2 linked regions of the Lonchura striata genome follow. Each later gene encodes a partner of the first gene's protein in a complex. Links are inferred from orthologs where the notes say so. Each region holds a gene or a part of one and is shown in the gene's direction. Other genes may lie near its edges.

Evidence for each region.
Region 2: the proteins of IRF2BP2 (region 1) and VGLL4 are in contact, whole or in part, in a crystal structure (PDB 8YTF), measured with the Homo sapiens proteins. The link is inferred for Lonchura striata from reciprocal best matches to the Homo sapiens genes IRF2BP2 and VGLL4. Residues at the interface, in NP_892017.2 of Homo sapiens: Thr516, His517, Phe518, Val519, Gln520, Pro522, Phe531, Leu557, Trp564, Ala565, Phe566, Met567, Glu570, Thr573, Ile574; in NP_055482.2 of Homo sapiens: Arg161, Ser163, Val164, Ile165, Thr166.

What each region holds. Positions count from the first base shown.
Region 1 is NC_134605.1:45,045,970-45,058,016, reverse strand, and holds IRF2BP2 (interferon regulatory factor 2-binding protein 2), read left to right. Parts: upstream 1-6,890; 5' UTR 6,891-7,006; coding exon 7,007-8,036; intron 8,037-8,268; coding exon 8,269-8,990; 3' UTR 8,991-11,178; downstream 11,179-12,047. UniProt on the Homo sapiens protein: Acts as a transcriptional corepressor in a IRF2-dependent manner; this repression is not mediated by histone deacetylase activities. Represses the NFAT1-dependent transactivation of NFAT-responsive promoters.
Region 2 is NC_134614.1:5,199,934-5,211,125, forward strand, and holds the start of VGLL4 (transcription cofactor vestigial-like protein 4), read left to right. Parts: upstream 1-6,209; 5' UTR 6,210-6,493; coding exon 6,494-6,575; intron 6,576-11,192. UniProt on the Homo sapiens protein: May act as a specific coactivator for the mammalian TEFs.

The sequences.
Region 1 (12,047 bases):
GCCTCAGCAGCTGCCCCGGCAAGCTCACTGGCATGGCCATTCCTCAAGCAAGACATGAGGTCCTTCATCAGACCTATTATTGAAGATGACTGGTCCTCATCCAGTCCTGTTTGGGAGACCAAGCGATATGCAAGCCCTGGCCTTTGGCAAGTTCCTCTAATGACTGGAATTTGCAGGAGGAGACAGTTTAATTTCCAGCTCCAGCACAGGTCTACCAGTTATTAATGCTGCTGGTGTTCTTTTAATCAAATATGAACTCAACTTCCCACCAGGCACCTCCTTCTGGAGCTCAGCATGAGCAGAAGGGATGTGGGTGCCTGAAAAAGGGATGTGTGTGATTTTCTTTGCCCAAAAGTACACATGGACAGAATGAAGTAATGCAATACAACTATATCATTATTGTCTAAACTTGTAAGTATTGCTCCTCAGCATTGCTGCACATACACATACTACTCATATGACAGAATGTACAAGATAAAAATATCCTTTTTTACTTTTTTTTACTTAGCATATTAGACTGCAGTCAGCAAAAAGATAAGGTTATGGGGCTGAAGCACAGAGAGGAGCATTTCCTCCTTGCTCTGCCTGCCCGGAATGCTCCCTAAGGGATTCCCTGCAGAGGAGGGGCACCGCCTGAGCATCAGGAAGAGAGAAAGGGAGAGAATGAGAGGAAGTGCTGGGAGGTCAAAACCAAATTTTGTTTGCATTCTGTGCTTTCTCAGATTTGGGCACCCTTCTGTTGACTCTTGTCTGATTGCAAAATTGCAATAGTATAGCTGCAATGACTAGCGGAAACACGAGCACCACAACAATATCTCAATGTGCCTGGAACAAACCAAGGCTGCAGCCTAATGAACCATTTTGCAGCTTTTGCATGTCAATGATCAAAATTCTTCCGGAAGGAAACCTGGTCTGTTCAAGGGACTCTCCTCTAGCAGCTGCCCACTGCTCCCTGTACTATAGTCCTTTTCCTAAAGAGCAACCCCTCTGAGGTGGGGGGGATAGGGGAGCACACCAGCATAGTACATGTTGCTACCCAAATAGGTGGGCATGTCTGGTTTGCTACCCACTGTTCAGTAGCTATACAATCCTAACAATTGGCAGGGAATCAGAGAGGGAATCCATCTCCCCTTTTCTTTCCCCTGAGTCTTTTTGAACTAGCTGATCTGTGTGGGGCTCAAACCATCGGCACCTGCCCCCAGGAGCCCTCAGCCCCTCCAGGTGTCTGTGCCTGCAGGAAGGACGAGACAACTGCTGCTGTGTGAGTAGAAAAATGGGATTGCGAAATGGCCGGTGCTGCCAGGATAGCAGCAGCAGCACAGTCTCCCTTCAGCTGGGCTGCCTGCCCCACTGGTGGTGGTCCTGTCCTGCCCCAAACTGTGGGGCTTCGAGGCGGGGAGGCTTTTGGGACGGCGAGTTCTTCTGGCAGGCCCGGGAGGTGATTTGCCAGCTGGAGCTGTCAGCAAGCGCCAGTTTGCTGCTTCAGGGGGATGTTTGGGTAATGCAGGAACTCCCATGTTGGAAACAACATTAATACCCTTGGCCCGCACTTTGAGAAGGTCTAGTCCTCGGTTTTGAGTTTTATTTTGTGTGAGGACCCTACTGCCAACTCCCACAAACAGGGAAAAGGCATTTCCCAGCCTGAACTCCCCAGCCCATCTGAGAAAGCCTTTGGCGCAGCCTCCTTGGGGCTCCTCTTTGTGCTTTGCTCACGCACACCAGCACTTCCACACATGCCGAGGGGGAAGCTCTGCCCCTGCGCAGCTACTCGGGGCTCTGCAAGCTGCATCGACATGGGCTCAGGGGAATGAAGCACAGACAAGGAATACAACTACCCAGAAACCTAAGAAGAAGGAGCTTTAAGGCCCTCTGTAATTTTTTCAACAGACGATCTGTTTCTGCTCTTATTTTGTAACGTTTCCTGTGGAGTCCTCGCCCCTGTCCAATTTTCTGAGGGTATTTGGAAGCCTGTCGACTCCCGCACAGAAGGCAGGGAGCAGAGCCAGCGCGGTGTCACGGAGGGGTCACTGCTTCCTGGGCTTCCTGTTTATTTTGGGAAGGGGTCACCCGGCCAGCCGGCCGCTCTGCCTGCGCCCCGGGAAGCCCCCGGCCACCACATTCCTGCCCCCCTCGCCCGTGGCTGCAGACAATTGCCGACTGTGGCTCGAAATGCAGAGCACCAAGGCGAGGTGTAAATGGGATAACCCGACATGCCTATTTACTCAGCCTGGGGATAAGGGGCGGAAGCTTTTCCACATCAATTGCCCTTTCTTCTGGTATCTGGAAGTGTCTCTCTGAAGTTTTTCGTTCTCTTCGGAGGGTAGTAACCTCTGAATTTCTTAAGTATTTCCACGATCCTTTCCTCGCCGCTTTTTTTCTACTCCTACTTGAAAAGAGGGCATAAAGTCAACTGCGCTGTTAAAAACAGAATTGTCTTTTTTTTTTAAAGAAAGCATGCAAATTTTTCTCCAAACTGCCTAGAGCAGAGCCCACCAATGGAGCAGAAGCTGTAGCACACAGGCTCTTGCTCACAGTGCAAGTCCCTGGTAACTAACCCTGACCATGCTGTCTAGAGGAAAGGGTTGGAGCAGAATAGCAGCATATGCTGCATCTCCATATTTTGGGATAATCCATGAACGAATGGTAAACGATTGTCCTATTGCTGTTTCCTCTTCTAGGCAGGCTCTGCTTAGGTTCCTTGTAGCTCTCAAACAGCAGTATTCAATGCAGCTTTCTTCAAGGAGTTAATAAAAGCCCCATGTATGGGAAACAGCAGACACTGAGTAGATGCTCGAGCCCCTCTCAATCCTCTGGCACGTTCTGCCTCATGTTGAGTGAGTGCAGTGACCTGTCTCCGGCCTCAGTGGAGTATTTTTGTGCCAGTGGCTCTGTCAGCTCCTGCCATCAGCAGTCAGCTCCAGGCTGCAGGGCAGCCGTCAGCATGCCACTGATGAGCAGCTCTTGGGGAAGCATGCTCTCATCCTGCAAGCCCATAAGTGCACACAGCTTTACATTCATAGTGATGCTCCTGTGAATAAAGTTGTAACTGGTTGTAAACATCTGCAGGATCAGTGGCTTACCATGAGCCCGTCCAAACCCTATTTATGTCAACATGCTGTGCCTGATGACACCCTCATTTGCATCAGTATCTTTTTTCCCTCCTACAACACTGGATTAAACACTGTTGGCTCAAAGTCACCTGCATCTGACTAAATCCAAAACTTGAAGGACTATTCTCAACCTCTCCTCTCTCAGTTCTGAGAGAGCAACCTCCATAATTCATTATAAATCAATGAAGGAGAGGTGGTAACATCCTTCAGCATAATTGTCTTTCCTATCTTGGCTCTGGCCATTTTGATATTACCCTGCAGGACTGCTGCCACAACAGAAGGATGCAAATAAGAGCTATGGAGGAAGCAGTGCGTATCTGCTGGAGAAGGTTGTGAGACAGCCCTCAATCAGAAGGGAAAGAAGAATGCCAAGGGCAGAGGTGATCAAGTGAGGAGCACTGGTTTGGACACAGACAGAAGGGCAGGCCCCATGGGGGATAGGTATGTGGGTGAAGTGCAGGCTGGGGGCACAGTTCTGGAACAAGAGTCTGCATGCAATCACTGCTGCCAGTGCAGAGGATAAGCGGGAAAGGATATAAAACCCTGCAGGGAGGAAGAGAAACACAGGAAGATCTCGGCGTGGTTCACTGACAAAAGCAAAAAAACACATTGTGAGAAGGGGCATGTCATTGATGTGGGGGTGGCAAACAGAGTTCAACTCAAAGAACCGCCCCACTACAACCTTTCCCTCCTTCCCTCACCCATGATACTGGGCACACCAGAACAAGACAAAAGCCTTCCACACCGTGCTGGACCCTCACCCATGCCACCATGGTGCTCCTTGGTCAGGGACTGCCCCAGACCTTCATAGCCTTGCACCCCATAAGACATTGTCCAGCACTCTCTGCTCCTATCTATAGCCTTGGTGTGTTGCATTGAGGGGAGTTTAGCAGAGATCTGGCACAAAGGAATGGCTTCTGTTTCAAAAAAGAGAAAAAAAAAGAACAAGAGACAAATTCATTATTTGTTCAATTCCTGTGCAGTTACTGCTGTAACAGTCAGCAGCTTTGAGGTATTTTTTTTTGTGATTTGATACATAAACCACATTTCCTATGTAGCACTGCCACTATTTTTTTATCAGGTTTTTGACATTGAGCTTGGTAACATGATTTTGTTGGCGTTTTTTTTCCTTTTCCACCAGAATGAATTCAAAGGCAGCAAATGCTGCAAAACCAGAATACTGCTCATCTTGACTTTTCCATGCAGCTAGTTTTCATTAAAAATAAAGGAAAATAAATACAGATCACATTTTCTGTCCTGCAGTTAAAAGCCTGCCACAGCTCAAAGCTTTGCTTTCTTCTTACCCTGCAGCCTCGCTCAGCTAGCACTCCAGCTCGGCTCATGATCTGAAAATGTGCAAACACACTGTTTCTTGGCTTTCCACCAGTATATATAAATATATGTAATTTTTTCCTTCGGAGAACCTGGAGGCTAAAGCAAGAGGGCAAAGGAGTACGTGACTAAAACATCCAAACTTCCTCTTTCATAAGCCATCACATGATGAAGTGCAATTACAATTCCTGCCTTGTCCCTGCCAATTGCAGGCGCATTGCCTCACCCGAGAAACCCGGCTTCTTCCCCCGCCCCGTGTGTGTGAGTGTGTGTGTGTGGAGGCAGTGATCGCTGCAGCCGGCTTGGCGAGGCTCCAGCTTCGGGCTGGAGAAAGAGGGCAGTGGGTGGAAGACGAAAACAAAGATCTGTTTACTTAGCTTGCATGGATAAATCGTCTTTCCAGCCGGGGAGGGGAGGAGGGAAAAGAAACAGCTTTAAAGGACTTTGATGCAACGTGAAAGGAGGGCTGCTCGAGAAAAGCGAGCCGATGTTAACCCTTGGCTCTCCGGGAGCACGTCGGGGCCAAGGCAGGGCTGCCCCCTTCTCCTTGCTCCTGCCTTCCGGCCCCGGCCGGCCGCCGCAGGGCTGCTGGAGCTGTGGGGGCTCCGGGGGCAGCAGCCCCGGCCGCCGCAACCGTGCGCGGGGCTGGATTTGGGGCCGCGGCTGACTTTTTTTGCGCTTATGTACAACCCGGCGCCTCCGGGGCGCCCAGCTGGCCGCGCAGTTGCAAAGTCACCCAACCTGGCACGGGGGCCGCAGTGCCAGGACGAGCAGGAGGCCGAGGCAGGGGGAAGCAAGGGTCCCCCGCAGCCCCGGGGCGCACGGGCGGCCGCGACACCCAGTCCCGGCCCCGGGAAGCGAGCGCAGGGCGAGAGGGGCGCGGCTCTGCCCCCGGTGTCCCCCCGACGCCCCTCGGCAGCCCGGCCGGGCGCTGGCGGCGGGGCCAGCCCCGCAGCGCCGTCGGGCGGCCCCCAGGCGCGGGGAGGCACCTCCCGGCGGCGGCGACGGACGTCAGAGCTTCCCCAGCCCCGGCCGGCTCCCGGCTCCCGCCTCCCGCCCTCTTTCCCTCCCTCCTCCGTAACCTACATAACGCCGTGGGAAGGGCGGCTGGAGCACGGCTGTCGGGGGGAGCAGCCTCCGCCGTGTTCACCCCGCACGGGCAAAGGCGTGCAGCCGACCGTACGTGCCGGGATGCGCCCGCTGAGGGGTTGCTTCACCTCCCGTGACACACGAGGAGAGCGAACACCCTCTCTTGCTCCCTCCCTTGCCCCCATCCTGTGTTTCAGTGCGGGTGCAGGTGGCGGATGAGCGATTCACAGCGTGGAAGGGGGTCGGGGAAACAGGTTTTTCTTTTTTGGGAACGAGACGGCGTGTGCTTAGTCTGTGTGAATTTCGCTAATCTGCATTAGAGAACTGCTGGTTTGTGGTTTAAAATGACAGGAAATCTAGAACGTCCTATTTCCTGTGCACAATGACAACAGTTAAGGAAAAAAAAAAAAAAAAAAAAAAAAGCTGGGTAATCGTTACATTTATTTGTAATGGTGCCTCCTGCTCCGGCGGGGAGAACAAAGCCGAGCACTGCTCGGCGGGGCGCCGGCCCCTGCCCGGAGGTGGCGATGACCGGCCCGGCGGGGGGGACCTCGCAGCTGCGGGGCGCGCCCGGGGCGCCGTGTCCAAGGTCACAGGGCGAGCGCGGCGGGGGACAAGAGGGGGTACACAGAGCCCCGCACTGCGGGAGGCGCTCCGCGCACCGCTGCGCCCACGGGTGGGAGGTTTCGGCAAAGCCCCTTGGCGGTGAGGGGAATAGTAATACACCCAACCATAATAAAAATAAAATCAGAAAAGAAGGAGGGAGCTGCGGGGCACCCCCGCCCCTCGCCTTGTCCCTCTCCGCTCCCACAGCCCTCCCCGGGGGCCATCGGGGCGGGGTCGCGGCGGCCCCCCGGCGGCAGGAGGAACCCCCGGTGCCGGTGGCGGGGGCGCGGGCAGGGGCCGGGGCTGGGATCGCGGCGGCGGCGGCGGCGGCGGGGCGGGGGCGCCCACCGCGCAGGCGCGGCCGGCACTGTCGAAGAATCGTAGCGGCGGCGCGCAGAGGCGGCGGTGGCGGCTGGAGCCCGGCACGGCACGGCGCCGCCGCCAGCCCCGGCCCCGGCCCCGGCCCCCGTGGCAGTCCCCGCCCCACCCGCCCCGCCGCGCCGCGCCGGCCCCCGCCGCCCCGCGCCGCCCCGTAGTAGCCAGAGAGCGGGGGAGCCGTGCGGGCGGCAGCGGCCGCAGCCCTGCGCCAGCCGCGCGGCGGAGATGCGCGTCCCCGCCGCCCTGTGAGCGCCGCCGGCGGAGACGGCGAGGGGAGCGGCGTTCCCCGCAGCGGCTCTGCCTGCCGGGGCGCCCGCCGCGCCCCGCTCCAGCGCACGGAAGAGGAAGGCGAGGGGGAGGGGGCCCGGCGGACGGTCCCGCTGCGGCCGCGGCTCCCGAGCCTGCCCGTCGGGACTCCGGTGACGAGGGGCGGAGGAGGCAGCGGCCGAAGCCGGAGCGGGGGGCGCTCGCCGCTGCCCCGGGGCCGGGACATGTCGTCGGCGGCGGTGGCGGCTGCTTCCCGCAGGCAGTCGTGCTACCTGTGCGATCTGCCCCGCATGCCCTGGGCCATGATCTGGGACTTCACCGAGCCCGTCTGCCGGGGCTGCGTCAACTACGAGGGCGCCGACCGCGTGGAGTTCGTCATCGACACGGCGCGGCAGCTGAAGCGGGCGCACGGCTGCTTCCCCGAGGGCCGGGCCCCGCCACCGCCCCACGCCAAGCAGCCTCCGCTCTCCGCCAAGGAGCTCCTGGCGCAGCAGCAGCAGCTCGGCCACCCCTCGGCGGCGGAGGCGGCGGCGCGGCCCCCGCCGCAGCCCCTGGAGCGCTACTCGCTGGCGGCCGAGCGGCCGCCGCCCCGCCTGGGCGCCGAGTACGGCGGCGGCCGGCAGGTCAACGGGATCCTGGTGCCCAACGGCTTCCCCAAGCCCGAGGAGCCGCCAGAGCTCAACCGGCAGAGCCCGAACCCGCGGCGGACGCACGCCGTACCGCCCACCCTAGTGCCGCTGGTGAACGGCGCCGGGCTCCCTGCCGCCATCGGCGGTCTGGGCAGCCGCGCTGCCGCCGCGGCCGCCGCCTCGCTGGCCGCCATCTCCGCCGCGCCCGCCCCCATGGCCGTGCCCGTGCCCCAGCAGCCGGCGGCGGCGGCGCAGGCGGCGGCGCAGGCGGCGGGGCAGCCCGGAGAGCTGGGACACAAGCGTCCCGGCTCCGTCTCCTCCTCCTCCTCGGGCGGCGGCGGCGGCGCGGCGGGGGAGCACGACAGTGGCGCCAAGGAGAAGCGCGGCTCTGCCGAGAGCCTGCCGGCGGCGGCGGCGGCGGAGCTGGCCGCGGAGGGCAAGGGCCGGCCGGGCGCCGAGCAGGAGTGGCTGGCCAAGCCCAAGACAGTGCGGGACACGCTGCTGGCCCTGCACCAGCACGGGAGCCACACCGTGGCTCCCTTCGACAGCAAATTCAAGAAAGAGCCGGGCATGGCGGGCGGCCGGCTGCTGGGCTACGAGACCAACGGCTCCGTGGCCAAGCCAGGTGAGGAGCCGGGGACCGGGGGGCGGCGGGCAGGGCGGGAGGGGTGGCTCTCCATGGATGCGGGGCGGGGGATGCCGGGCGGCTTTGGGCGTGCGGGGCGGCGGTCCGGCCGCTTGGGTGGCCGGGTGCCCGGGGGGTGGCCGAGGCCGCCCGTTTTCGCGGTTGCTCGGCAATGCGTTGCGAGTGCGCTGCCTTCTTACCCTCCTCCTTCCCCCCACCTCTGCCTCTGCAGGGGCTCGGGCCGCCCGGAAGAGGAAGCCTTCCCCCGAGCCGGAGGGCGAGGCTGGACCCCCGAAGATCAACGGGGAGGTGCAGCCCTGGCTGCCCACCCCGTCAGAAGGGATGAAGCTGCCGCTGACGGCCACCCCCTTCATGTCGCCCCCGCCGCCCACCGCCTCGCCCCACTCCAACCGGACCACGCCGCCCGAGGCGGCACAGAACGGCCAGTCCCCCATGGCCGCCCTCATTCTGGTGGCGGACAATGCCGGGGGCAACCACGCCTCCAAAGACGCCAACCAGGTCCACTCCACCACGCGGAGGAACAGCAGCAGCCCCCCCTCGCCCTCCGCCATGAACCAAAGAAGGCTGGGCCCCGGCAGGGAGGTGCCGGGCCAGGGGGCCAGCGCGGCGGCGGCGGGCGGGCTGGAGCCCGTGCACCCCGCCAGCCTGCCGGACTCGTCCCTCGCCGCCAGCGTCCCGTTGTGTTGTACCCTCTGCCACGAGCGCCTGGAAGACACCCACTTCGTGCAGTGCCCCTCCGTCCCCTCCCACAAGTTCTGCTTCCCCTGCTCCCGGCAGAGCATCAAGCAGCAGGGAGCCAGCGGGGAGGTGTATTGCCCCAGCGGGGAGAAGTGTCCCCTGGTCGGCTCCAACGTCCCCTGGGCCTTCATGCAAGGGGAGATCGCCACCATCCTGGCCGGAGATGTGAAAGTGAAAAAGGAGAGGGACTCGTGACTCGCCTGCACTCGCTGCCCGACGTCACCTTGAACTCGAACTGCTCGAATTCTGTATATATCTATAAATATATATATATAAATATATATATATATATCTCCAAGACAAGGGAAATGTAGACTTCATAAACATGGCTGTATAATTTTGATTTTTTTGAATACATTGTGTTTCTATATTTTTTGAAGACAAAGGTATGTACTTATTATAAAGGCATTTCTTCTAATTCTTCTCTTTTTTTTTTTTTTCTGTTTCGTTTTTTCTTTTTTTCCCTTTTGTTATAGCAACTATTTGTTGTGCTTCCCTGGTGACAGTTACTGTTCAATGTAGGCTGTGACTTGCGCTGCTTTTTTTAGAGAGCACTTGGCAAACCAGAAATGCTTCTAGCTGTATTTGTATGCACTTGTTTCTTCTGTTTTTTCTTTCCTTTTCTTTTTTTTTTTTTTTTTTAAATGCCAAATACACTTTCTGACATTGTAAAGATTGCCTTACTGTCTGTGATTCCTTATTCCTGGCCCCTGTCCTGTAGAGCTGGTCGCATGCAGGCTTGGTCTGAGGCAGCTGGGGACAAGAGTGGCTAGCCAAGGCAGGCATGCACTTGCCATCCCACTGGCCAGGCGAGCTTAGGGAGCAGGAGGGCTTTCTCCCAGAAGCGCGTGGCTCAGGGTGCGATGGAAGATCCTCCAGATCCAGTCCCAAATTGCTCACTGTTTCTCAAGGGAAGCTGCCACCAGAGTAGGATGTGGAGAGGTGTCCAAGAGGCGCTGTTGAGTTAGGGATTTCTGGGTTTGTTTGTTTTTGGTTTGGTGTTTTGTTTTGTTTTTTTCGTTTTTTTTCCAAGGCAAAGTTGACCGCAGTTCTTGTGATCAGTTCTAAGATTACAAAACTGCATTTATTCACCAATTACATACCATAACGTGGAATTTTGATAATGAACTTAGTTACGTGATTGGTGAAGGTGCCAATGTAGCACTGCCATTTCTGAAGGTCTTCAGTGTCACTTGTGGGGCTTTTGTGTATTTGGAACAAGCTGGGGATGTGGGGAAGAGACTTTATTTTATTTTACTTTAATTTTCAGATAGTGCATATGGATTTTGATTTTGCTTACCAGTCACCTCTAGTGCTGTTGCTATTGTTACTATCGCTGACCCGGTATTTCCAAGTAGTGGCAGGTACGGTGTGGTACAGTGACAGCAGTGACTGAGGCTCTGCCAAATTGCCCGCGGGCATATCAGTGACAGCCCAAATGTGGGTGGAGGAAACCTGTAATTTCCTTATTACGTATGCTTGAAACAAACCTACTGCTATTCTTTGAAAATGAAAATATAAACTGGTTGAAATGAAAGCAATTAGGGCTGTACATAATGGCCCTGGCCCTGCCTTTTAAGCTACTTTGGAGAACTCTTTTGTAAAGCCACTTCTTTTGATCACGCTTCTGCATCACCAAGCAGACTTCTAAAATCAATAAATCATTGGTTACTAGAAATAGTTCAAGTCTAATAGTGATGTTTTTGTGCTGTTTATAGTTCATTGGCAACACTGCATCTGTACGAGCCCTTCTGTCGAGGTGTTTATAACTCGGTTATTTGCGGTTGTTTCTGAGCAAAAAGGTGGCGAGGTCATCCCCAGGGACCAGCTAATAAACACTTCTAGTATCAGAAGAGGAGGAGGAGGAGAAATCGTTTCAGCCAACTATAAAATTCAAGATTTTTGGATGCTTTTTACTCAACTGTTCTTATTGTGATAATGTTCAAACTGCAATTTAATGCAGAGGAGTTTTTTGGTTTTTTTTTTTTTTTTTAAGACTAATTTTTTTAAAAAAGAGAAGAAATGGTCCTTATTAGTATTTGAAGATCAGAACTGCACATGCACAGTAATTTTCTATGAAGTGTTTAATGAGCACACCCACTACATTGTGTTCCATATTACAGGTCAATGTAATATTAGATAAGACTTGCATGATAAACAAATTCATTGAGTCAATATTACGCTTTAAAACTTATAGTCAAGATTGGTGTCTTATGTAAACACATTTAGCCAATTTGAAGAAAACGCACATTATATATATATACATACCTATATATATACCTATATATAAAAAAATGCCAACTGTAAAGGATTCTTTGGAACCACTATGATCTGTGTAAATGTGTATCTAGGCACTTTATTAAAAAAATGGAATTTGAGCTGATAGATGGTAACAAGTTCTTCAAAGTTGCTTGGCATAATACCTTACATGGGATGAAGTTCATGGTTTGATTAAGGCGGTGTCCCTGCTCTTAAGAAAGAAGCAGAAACTGAATTCCAAAGCCTGCCTAAAAGAGCCCCCCATTTTGTGTCATCAGGTGTCCCAGCTGTGAGCGTGCTGAGGGTGAGACCTGCTCCTGAGCTCCTGACAAAGCGCACCCTTGTTTTGGGGCAGAGGGACATTGGTGTGAGAGGCCTGTAGGGAAGCACACCTTCCTCCTCCTGCCAGCCACCCGCTCCTGCAGTTCTGTGACTCCTGGAGAGGATGGAAACTCCCCAGCCACTGATGCCAGGCACTGGCCCAGTAACAACATAGATGGAAAAGAAATGGCACACGGTGGCTATGCTCACTCAGCTGACTTGAGCCCCCAGCCATGTCTAACCTCCACCATAAAACTTCAGAACTGCAAAAGAAAAACAAACAAAACAAAATAACAAACAAAAAAAGAATTAAAAAAATTTGAGGGTGTTCATACATAGTTCATTTTTCTCACATTGAATGTTGCTTTTTCTTTTTGGTTGCTTTGCTCAATTACAGTAATATTCCAGTGGATTCTTTATTACTACTTCCTGGGCTACAAATTTTTTCTTTTTTTTTTTTTTCTATTATTTTGAAGTGCTTTAGTTGCAACAGTGCTACTGTTAATATTCCTTTTTAAACTTTTTAAAAGGTGATACTGTAACTTGTGTAGTATTAAAAGTGTTTTAATGAAGAATGTGTGATTACAATTTTTTTTCCTAACCCACTTCCATCACTTTTTTTTCAAATACACTTTTTCCTGGCAGATTTTTTTCAACTGCATGGTTCTTTTG
Region 2 (11,192 bases), on another chromosome or scaffold:
AACAAGACCCTCAATTGGAAAGGAATAGCCTTAGAGCTTGAATGATATTTCATTTTAATTTAATCGAATTGGTTGCAAGTTGCATAACTGGGTTTTGCAATAGCTACTTATTAATATTTTAATCTTAAAATTTAGGATAAGTAATTGCTGTGATGTGTAGAAGCCAAAATTATTCCATTCAGTAGGAAAAGTTGTGATTGATTTTAGTGCATGGGACAGCATTGGGAATCCTGGTTTTGTATCATTTATAAGGTGATTATAATTATTGGAATATTCAGCCTGTGTGCAAGCAAGGTCAGCTCCACAGATTTACATATGTTAATACCTAAACTCAATTAGGCCATACATATATATATATTTATATTAAAAAAGTGTATTTCATGTCTTGCCAAGAGAGCTATAAGGGGAAATGTTTTCAAAGACTTGAGCAATCTTAAAGCTCTCTGCTTTATTTCTAAACCCTGTAATTAGTGGCTCCTGGAAACTGGATTTGCTTCTTCCCAAAGCTGAGGGATACACATGGTAATTTTGAAATCTAACCTCTAAACACAGTCTGGCTCCTAATTTTCCTAAGTTAAAAGTGGTTTAGATGCCTGAGCATCAAGCTGACTTAAAATTGGCATTTTTTCTTTAGTAATTCTCTTTTTTTTTTTTTATCCTCTCATTTCTCATATTGGAAGAATATTAAGTAATTTTTTTGCCCTGCTAACACAAACAGGGCATGGCAAGGTTTGCACCTCACTGCTTGCATCTGGAGGCTCTGGTGGTGTTTGAGACTCTTTGTAGTTCAAGTTGAATTATGTTTGTGATTATCATCAACCCTTCAGAGATTTAAAATAGTATGCAAATAGCAGAAAATATTATCAAGTTTTTAATTAGCACATAACAATTTTCCCACACAGATAAACTAGATTTATCTGTTGTGTGCTTTAGCTGCACTTTTGAAGTCTTCTCAGCCCAGCCTAAGAAAACAAAAGGAGAAAAACACCAGCAAATTGAGAGCTGCAAGATACCAGTGAGAAATGGAAAATATTCTTGATGAACCAGAGGCCTCGCCCAGCACCTCTGTGCCTATTTTATATATTCACTCAGAATTAATTGTGGTTTTTGCAAAAAAATCCTACAAGGGAAGCTCTGTCTGTGCCCTGCCAGGGATTCTGCCTTTCCTGGCCCAAATTCCCACCTGGGAAAGGCTGTGGAAGGACAGCAGGTGTGTTTAGTTTGGGGTGGGAGGTAAATGATTCCTGCTGCTGGGGGCAGGTTTTAATTCACCAAAAGCTTTTTGAGTTGATAAACACATTGGAATTTTCTGATCTGATATGACATAGATGGTCCTAAATTGCTCAGTATTTGCAAACAAGTGATCTGAAATTTTTATTTACCGCCACGGTGAGATGCTTTTTGCAATCTGTGTGTCTTTAAAGAAGAGAGTAGTACTGAATAAGAACTGCAGTGCAGCAAGGCATTTAAAATAAACCTTAAAAAATCAGTCCATCTGCCCGTCCAGACAAGCCATTACCATCTATTCCTGGGCCTACAAGTTCTTGCAATTCTAGACACTCTTAGGCATTGCTGTATTTTTAGTTTCCCTGGCATTTTGTTCACGGGGGATTCCAATGTGAGTTGCACAGCACTTTGTGACACTCACACACTCATAAGCAGATTTCCTCACTAGATAATGCTGTGTTTGGGTTTTGAAAGCAGCATTCCCTATTTAGGTTATGACAAGAATGATAGAATGCACAAATTCTTTCATTACAATATTGGGTGTAAACTTCCCTATTTCAGGCTTGAGAAGCTCCAGTGACAATTAAAAAGGCATATTTTTGTTCTATAATATCTGGCATGTTGTTGAAACCTTTAACTAGGGGACAGGTCAAAAAGGAAGACACAGCTTGAGCTCAGAGATGCCCACCCTGATGGGGCTTTCCTTAGTTATTGATTTATCTTAAGGGAACAGGTAGCTGGATGTGATTAAAATCTATTTGCAATGCAACTTCATGATTAAGAAAAAAAGGTGGAAGAATGCACATGGGAATGATGTGTGTTTTGATATCTTCTGTCCACTGGTGCAGTTGAGTGCTTAATGCGTGTGTAAAGTTATTATTGTGCTGTCTGTCTCACCAAGGGAAGTGTTTGTTGCTGCTTGTAAGGAACTTGAAATGTCATTTTCCTTGTCATCCATTTCTGGGTTTGCTGCATGTTCAGTCCATTTTAACTGTATTTCCTCATCACACCTGAATGGATTTCAAAGCAAACACCCCATCCTGCTTCAAGGGGAATTTTTATTTTGCCTTTTTCCTGTGCAATGCATTCTAACAAATGTAACAACAGGGATGTTGAGAGCAGCTTTTCCCACACACTGCCGTGGAGTGCATGGAAAAAGAAAAGCCTTTTCCTTCAGGCACATCGCCACCTAGCAACCCTCAACTCGAATTTGCTCTTTTCTTAGGGCAACAAAAAGGGTAAAACCTGTTTTTAAATGTTCTTGCTTTATTCCTCCACCTCCTCCTCAGTGTGCATTGAGGTTTCAGTAGGTGCCTGTCTGACCTGAGGAGCTGCAGCTGACAATTATCTACTCAAAAATGGAATTAAGCTGAGCAACACTGTGTGGCCACACAGACACAGCAGAGTGTGTCCCACCTCTATAAAGACTATTTTTTCTCTCGGGTACAGAACTGGTCACTGTTTCAATAATTGCTCTCTGCTGATGATCTTCACGGGTGGAATTCCAGCTGTCTCCTATTGTGGGGCTGGTTCTTAGCCAGTGTTGCCCATATTCTCCCTGGAAGATGTGTTGGAGTGCGGGCACCAAAGGCATTTTGTTTTCTCACGTTCTTCAGCACTGCCTGAGGCAGCAGCACATGTGAGAGAGGAGAGGGTCGAGAAGGGCAGAGAAAAGACACAGAAAAATGCAGCTCCCTGTATGTTTGTAATGCTCTAAAGCAGCTCAGTGCTTGTTCAAATGCTCTAAAACCCATATAAAATCTCACTGTCAAATCTGATATCACAGACTTGATATATTAAGAATATAATATACAGTCGAATAATATACAGTTGTAGGGATTTGCTTTTATATTAAGTGGTGATTTACAGAGGTGATTTACCTGCTCTTTTTGCTTTCCTTCCTTTGCTTTTTTGTCTTGTGAGGCGGTGAGACATTGCTGTGTGCAGACTGAATTTGCTCTCTGGGCTGAGGTGAAGCAGATCCCTGAGAGGCTGAAGGCTGTGCCCTGCTCTGTGGGGTCATCAGAAGAAAATCCATGTCAATCCCACCGGAGCTGTGCCTTTCCCCTTACCTCTAGAGGCTGCTGTTGTGTTAAATTAAAGTTCAGCGCTCTCCCAGCGGATCCCAGCTCTGGGGTTCAGTGCCAGGAGCAGGGAGTGTGAGACCCTAGAGGAAATAAATACTCCAGCCAGCGAGAGGCAGGGATGCCTCAGCTCTCAGGGAGCAGAAGGAGCTGATGAAAAGCAGCCTTTCCCCAGCCCTCTGCTGCACTGATGATTGGTTTCTGTTCAGTGGAAGGTCTCTCAGACCGATGAGCAGCAAACTGAATTGAGAATTTGCTGACAGGAACCAAGTACTATGCAGTGACCCTGTCAGTATTTGAGGTTAATGTCTGCTGGACTTGGGTTTGTTGAACTGATAAAATTTTCTTTCAAAGAAAGTTTTCCTAAGAATGGATTTTGGGTTTAAAATGCAGCGTAATGGATATGTTTACATTGATAATTCTCCCCCATTCTTTCACTAGGCATTGCCTTGTTTGCAGCACAGGTATTTTAATTTAGAAGTTCAAAAAGCTCTTGGTATTTGGTACAGTTTTTTATTATTTATTGTAAAGCACACTCATTATGCAACATTTGACAAGTTCAATCAGAGTTTGTACTGAAATGCTGAAAGCCATTCACCTAACAATGATCATTACTGCCTAAAAACCTGCACACCAGTGACTACTGGTCTAATAAAGAAGAATTAACTCCTTTATTAGTGTCTGGACAGCGCTTCTGAGTAGTCAGTGGTTTCTGGACAGCACCCAATCATGCTTTTCCAAACAGCTTGAAGAAATATGTAACTTTGAATATAGAGAATTCAAATTGGACTGGGAATTATAATGGCCATGTGCACCCCTGTCTATTAGAGCACTGCTCTAAAGGAGTTTAAATAGTGTTTTCTTCCTCATCACCTGCACCTCCCACAAAAATCCAAGTATTTCAAAGCAAAAAAAATCAAATACTTATCTTCTTGTCCTTCCCAAGCACCCAATAAATGTATTGCATTCATGTGAATTCAGGGATGCTCTCTATATGCATATCAAAATATTGTCCCCAAAATTGGTGAGGAACTTGTGTTTCATGCTGAAGAAACATGCCTTTCTTTTTTAATGTTGGAGGTGTGGATTTTTATTGTTGTTTATATCTTAGAGGGCTCAAATTTCTCCTGATGTCTTTATTAGATGGCTGTTTTAATTTGATGGATTGGTGTAGAATATCTCTGAGTATGTACAATATGCAAAACTTCTCATGCCCTGCTTAAAAATTACCATACACTACTCTTTATTAAAAATGTTTATCTTTCTGGAAAATAGCATGGGATGCTTTGGTCTGTGTGGTTGCAACTTTTGCAAAACAACTGCAACTTTTTATTAGATACCAATCAAGAAATGTGTTGTTACCTCAACATTGTGTATCTGCACTGAGAATAAACCTTTTTTATGTTCTAGGCAATCTTCCTTAGAATATTCAATGGACACCAGCAGTAAATTTAAGCTACCTGTTTTTACTGGAATACCCAGAGCATTCAAGCAGTAACTCTCAAAATGCCATCACAAAGTGTCACTCTGTGAGTTGCCTCTGTCATGTCATCCCTTCCCCTTCTCTAGCAGAGGGGAGAAGTTCTCAGGGTGGAAATTGAAGTTTTTTACTGCTACTGCCCTTGTGTGCACCATGAAGATTTCTCATCCCAGATGGGCAGGGATGATCTGTGCTCCAAGCTGAAGCGGGCAGAGGGAAAATTAGGTTTCCATTGGCTTTTTTTATTTCTCTTTTCCTATCAGCCCGAGACTTGAGGCGCTGATGACCCACAGCAAATGTGAACTGATGCCCACCAGGTTCGCACACCTGCCCAGATGTTCTGCCTTCTCGGGATGAGGGCACACATCTGTCTGAGCAGCTCTGAGCTCCAGGCTGGGGCTGCAGAGGGGCAGCCCACATCCAGGGACGGGAGAGCTGGAGCAGCACCGGGCTCCATCGCCTCTGTCAGCTCAGCCAGGGATTTGGCAGCCACGGAGTTCCCAGCATGGAAATATTGTGCTGTTTAGTTCATTAAACACATCTCTGATTTTGGCCTCCTCTCTGGGGGAAGAGAAGAAATGGTGATAACATAGATGGGATCTGCCTTGTGGGCAGCAAATTGTCCTTCTGCTGGGGCTGGGCTGGCAGTGGGAGAGCTGGAAGTTCTCCCATTAGCTGTCCAAAAGTGAGGCTGTGCTGCAGGCCTGGCTGTTTTCTCAAAGGTGGGGTGATTTATTTTGTGTTGTGAGGTTGGTGAGCACAGGCACAGGTTCTCCAGAGAGGCTGTGGAGTCTCCACCTTTGGAGATGGTCAAATCCCACCTGAGCATCCCACCCTGCCTGAGGCTGGTTTTGAGCAGGAGGTTTCCAAATGACCTCTGAAGGTGCCTTTGTAGCCTCCTGGAGATTTCTGCGCACTCATGTAATTAAAACAGCCACAGCTAGGAAAAGATCCAGAGCCCAGAATGTTTAACCACGAGCAGCCCTTAAAAAATCCGATCTGGCTGTGCCCTGATGGAACTGCAGCAATGTGTGCGATGCCCGTTTATATGTAGAGACAGAAACCTTTTTAAACTATTTATATATAAACTAAATACACGGAGGCAATGGCCACTGCATCACGCCTTTTATTTTAATTGCCTCTCTCATTCCTGCGATTCCACTGATCATTCCTGCGATGCCACGCCGTGATTCCACGGCTGCTGTCGCATTGCTTCCCGCAGAATTGGTTTCAAACAGCAGGCTCGGCACCCGCCCCCCGAGCGCGGAGGAGGCCCCTCGGCGCCGCTTCCTCCCCTCGTAGCCTCCTCCTCCTCCTCCCGCAGCCGCGGCCGCTTCCTGTGCGCGGCTCTGACGCGGCCGCTCCTCCCCGCGGAGCACAAAGCGGCCGCGGCCGGCAGCGCCTGCGCGGCCCCGGGCAGTGCCGGGCACTGCCGCTGTCAGCGCCGGCGCTCGCAGCGGGCTGCGCCCTCCTCCCCGCCGCCTTCGCTTTGCTGTAGCGCTCTTCTTTTTAATTATTATTTTTTTAAAACTCGGAAGAACTCTTGGGAGGGCTCCCTCCCCTCGCGCTGCCCGGGCTGTCGGAGCCCGCTGCCCCTTCCCGCCCCGCTCCAGGCTGGGCCTCGCTGGGGCTGGGAAGCCGGAGCGCCTCGGCACCGTCTGCCTCCCCCGCCCGGAGCCGCTCGCCTCCGCCAGCCCGATAAATGCTGTTTATGAGGATGGACCTGTTGAACTACCAGTACTTGGACAAGATGAACAACAACATCGGCATCCTGTGCTACGAAGGTAACAGTGCCTCGCCACGGGGAATGAGCGGTGCCCTCGCACGGGGGGAAGGATCCCTCGATCCCTCGCACGGGGAGGGATGGATCCCTTCCAGGATGGCTCCTTCTCCGAGCGGCGCTCGCTCTTGTTTGTCAGCGGGGATGTTCTTGGAGATCGCCGGTGCGGGACGCCCCTCGGGCTGTTGTCAGAGCTTTGTTACAGGGCAGGGATTTCTTTGTGATTTTTTTTTTTTCTCCCCCTGTTCTTATTTATTTATTTATTTTCACAACCCGCGTTTCCAGCGCCTGCTTTGCTTTCCCTGGCGGGCGGCGCTGCTGGCACTGAGGCCGGGCTCTGTCCGTGCGTCCCACGCCGCGGGCGGACACGCGTGGGTCCGGCTGCCGGCGCGTCCCCCGGGCCGGGCACGGTCCAGCCCGGCTGCCGGCGTGTCCCCCGGGCCGGGCACGGTCCGGCCCGGCTGCCGGCGTGTCCCCCGGGCCGGGCACGGTCCGGCTGCCGGCGTGTCCCCCGGGCCGGGCACGGTCCGGCTGCCGGCGCGTCCCCCGGGCCGGGCACGGTCCGGCTGCCGGCGTGTCCCCCGGGCCGGGCACGGTCCGGCTGCCGGCGTGTCCCTCGGGCACGGTCCGGCCCGGCTGCCGGCGTGTCCCCCGGGCCGGGCACGGTCCGTCCCGGGGCTGGCCGCCCTGCCCCGGCAGCCCGCGGAGCCCTGCTGGGAAGGCGCCCGCGGGAACAGGGCAGCAGCGGTTTGTGAATCCGCGCGGCTTTCTCTACGTGCGGCTGCGAGAAGCGGTTATGGCTTGGCTTTGCCTGGAGAGAAAGGCACCACTGAGCTAATTCGGCTTGGCAGCGGGGCTGGTTTTGCTGGAGCCACACACAAGCGCCGCGAAAAGCTTTTTTTTTTTTTTTTTTTTTTTTTCTGATTCAGCAGAAACGCTTTCCACGTTCGTTGAGAAAATAAACTTGGTGGAGTTGTGAGGAAAGAAACAATGAGGAGCATACACAGGCCAAGGAGATATCTGTTCACAGTGCTCAGGAAAAGGCCAGGCCAGAACGCAGGCAGCTGAATCTCACTTTGGAAATCACAGTCTTTTCTATCCCTAAGCCAGCATGGCCTCATTGCTTCCCTTCAGGAAGTGCAGGGGCTCCCTGTTGTACTGTTAATATCTTTGTTTCTCCTTTTTTCCTGCCTTTTCTTTCTTGGACAAATATGTATGTATATATTCATTTGGATTAAGCTCTTTTACAGAAGATGAGCTGAATAATACAGAGCTGGGGTTCTGTGAAGTTCAATTCCCAACTTCTTTCTTATGCTATGCTTTCTTTGTTAGAGCAAGAAAACTGGTTTAAAAGAAAAAAAAATAAAAACAACTTTCAGGATCCTTTAACTTTTTCATTTCATGATCCTTTAACTTTTTCACTGCTCTCTGCAGTAATTAGTGTTTTCTTGAGAAGCAAGTGATAATTATGAAGACCATGGAATTTTATGCAAAGCTTTATTTACATAATACACCTTTCTTTCACTAAGTTTTGTTGCTCTGTAGTTTTGGCTCGTTACTTCAATTCATTGTAATTATGCCTTATATTTATGGAAGATTCTTTCCAGTCCCATTTTTATTCCCCACCCTCTTCTCCAGTAATTATTATTTAACCATATCTTAGCTTTAATAGTACAAAAGCAAAAGAACAGCTTAAGGAATACACTCTACTGGAGCAGTTTTTGTTTAGATTAAACATCTGTTGCTATTTTCCTTATTCTGGAAGTTAACATTTTTAATACTAAAATAAACACACATAAAATGAAGAGAAGAAAAGCAAAACTTCAGTGGTGTTTATAGTGAGGTGTTTATATCCCAATGATTTAAAAAGTGTAAACACTGGCAACATCTGCTCTGAACTCAAAGGGTGTTTTAGAGATGCCTACAGATCTTCCTGGCCTCTGCCATAGTATTTATTTTAGAAGTGAGTTGTGTCAGCGGTGATGGATCTTGTCTTTCCAGGGACACTGTTGCAGTAGTAACTGCACTGACAACAAAACTCCCTCTCAAACTCAATTAATTAGGATTTACTGAAAGCCACACTTGAACTACTTATAAATGGATGCCTTCCTGAAAAGTACTTCTAAAGATGCAGGATAAGATAAAAATAGGTTTGAAATTTCAGAGGAAAGAGTGATGGGCCTATAGGCCACAGGAAATAGATGGGTTCCTTGTTCCCCTAGATTCGTTCTTGAAGCATTTGTTTTTTGTTTTTGAGATTATTTCTATGCTGGTGAGCTATGGCAGCATGTTTTATGAAGTTTATTGATGGTTTTACTCTTCTGGCACTGGAACTGTTGGATTTGCAACAGCCTTTGGATCATAGATGTGTTGATCCCTAAGAAATAGGAAAAGATCCTCCAATGTGTGTATCTGTCAACCCTTAAATTGGACATGGAGCAGAGGAGTGTGATTTGCATCCTGAGCATGGTCCTGCATTTTCTTGCCCAGCTAGAGTCCCGGACAGCAGTTTGTTATCTGTGAGCTGAGTTAATGCCAGCCTTGGAGAGCCTTTTCTGCCTGGGAGGAGCAGGAATCTCCCAAGAACTCAGCTGTGTCTTCATCTCAGTCTGCTCCTAAATTGTGCCATTCGTGGTCACAGTCCAGCCACGGAGTTCCCAGCATGGAAATATTGTGCTGTTTAGTTCATTAAACACATCTCTGATTTTGGCCTCCTCTCTGGGGGAAGAGAAGAAATGGTGATAACATAGATGGGATCTGCCTTGTGGGCAGCAAATTGTCCTTCTGCTGGGGCTGGGCTGGCAGTGGGAGAGCTGGAAGTTCTCCCATTAGCTGTCCAAAAGTGAGGCTGGGCTGCAGGCCTGGCTGTTTTCTCAAAGGTGGGGTGATTTATTTTGTGTTGTGAGGTTGGAGAGCACAGGCACAGGTTCTCCAGAGAGGCTGTGGAGTCTCCACCTTTGGAGATACTCAAATCCCACCTGAGCATCCCATCCTGCCTGAGGCTGGTTTTGAGCAGGAGGTTTCTAAATGACTTCTGAAGGTGCCTTTGTAGCCTCCTGGAGATTTCTGTGCACTCATGTAATTAAAACAGCCACAGCTAGGAAAAGGATTATAACCAGAAATGAGGGGAAAGAGTTTTAGAAAGGTGGTCCATAACTCTGAAGCACAGGATAAAGCCATTTCTTTTCCTCAAGGTTGTTTGTTTTACACTGATTATTTGTGTCCTTTGGAGGTTTCTCTTAATCTCTTTACTAGCTTTGAACCCCCATGATGCCCCATGGTAATCTCAAATCCAACTGATGCTTTTGGAGAAAAATCTGAATGTTAATGGGTTGGGGTTTTTTTTAGCAAGTTGCATAAAAAAGACATTTGAAAGAAAATTTTTAAATCACTCCAGTGGGGATGTGTAGTCCTCACCAGTGGAAAAGGACAGTTCTATTAGTGATGATCAACCACTTCAAGTAATTTATTATAATAGTTTTGGTGCAATAGGAAAGTAGAAATAGAGAATTGTTGCCTTGGCATCTGGATGCTCATCTTTAGCGTGAATACATCCGATATTCTTCTACTCAACATTTGCTGCCAGCGATCAACAACGGCCAGTTTAATGAGTGGTGCTTTCAGATCATTATTTTGCTTTAATGAGCTGAGGGCCATGAGGAAGCTCCTGGGAGCCCTGGCAGAGGTGCAGAAGGAGCAGCAGCATTCTGAGGCAGGCTGGCATTCCCAGTGCTTCCTATCGAATGGCAGCCACTTGATCCAGCCAGGTAATCCGGGCTGGAACATCTGCATCTCGTTTTGTGGTGGAAACTCACTTAACTCTGGCTCAATATTCCTTCTGAGCCCGCTGTTGAGGTAATGGAGTGCTCAGAGTTAAACAAAACAGAGCAGAGCACAGGTGATGCTGCTCTTTGACTCCAGGGCTGTCCAGCCAGTTCTGGCTCCTGCTTTCCCACGGAATATGCATGAGGAGAAGCAGTCTCCAGGCAGATCCCTTTCGTTCTGTTGTTTATCACAGATGGTGCTGTGTTGGAAGGCAGATTTCTGCCTTCCTTCCTCTCTCTCTCCCCGTTTCAGATGCTCTGGGTTATTGCTGCATTCTCAGGGCTGGAACTGCTGTGCTGGGAAAGGTATAAAGAAATGCAATAAGATGCTAAGAAATCCCCCAGGCATGTTACTTGGAGCACTCAAAATAGTTATGTAGAGTTCTCTGGATAGTCTAGAAGACTGGGATTTTTTTTTTTTTTATGAAGAAAATTGGATCCAGATTTCTATCAAAACACCCCTCTTTGGTTTCAGGACAGCTTTCATTAGTTAGTGGCATATTACATAATTATTTCACTGACTTCCTGTAAGGCTGGAGCATTCCTTGGCTTGCAGAGCTGGGTGTCCTCTCAGGGCACTGCAAAGCATCCTGAAAATGTCTGTGTCTTCCCCAAAAGGCCACTTCAGATGTTTGCTATCAGAGGCACAGATCCTGCTAACTTAATTTGCTTTTTGACGAAATGCAACATGTTTTCTTAAGTTCTAAAGAAGAGTTTCCATCAGCTCTCTCTGCTGACCTTGCATTTTTCTCTTTCTCTAACATCAGTTTCTCCTATTAACTGCAAAATTCGGGTTA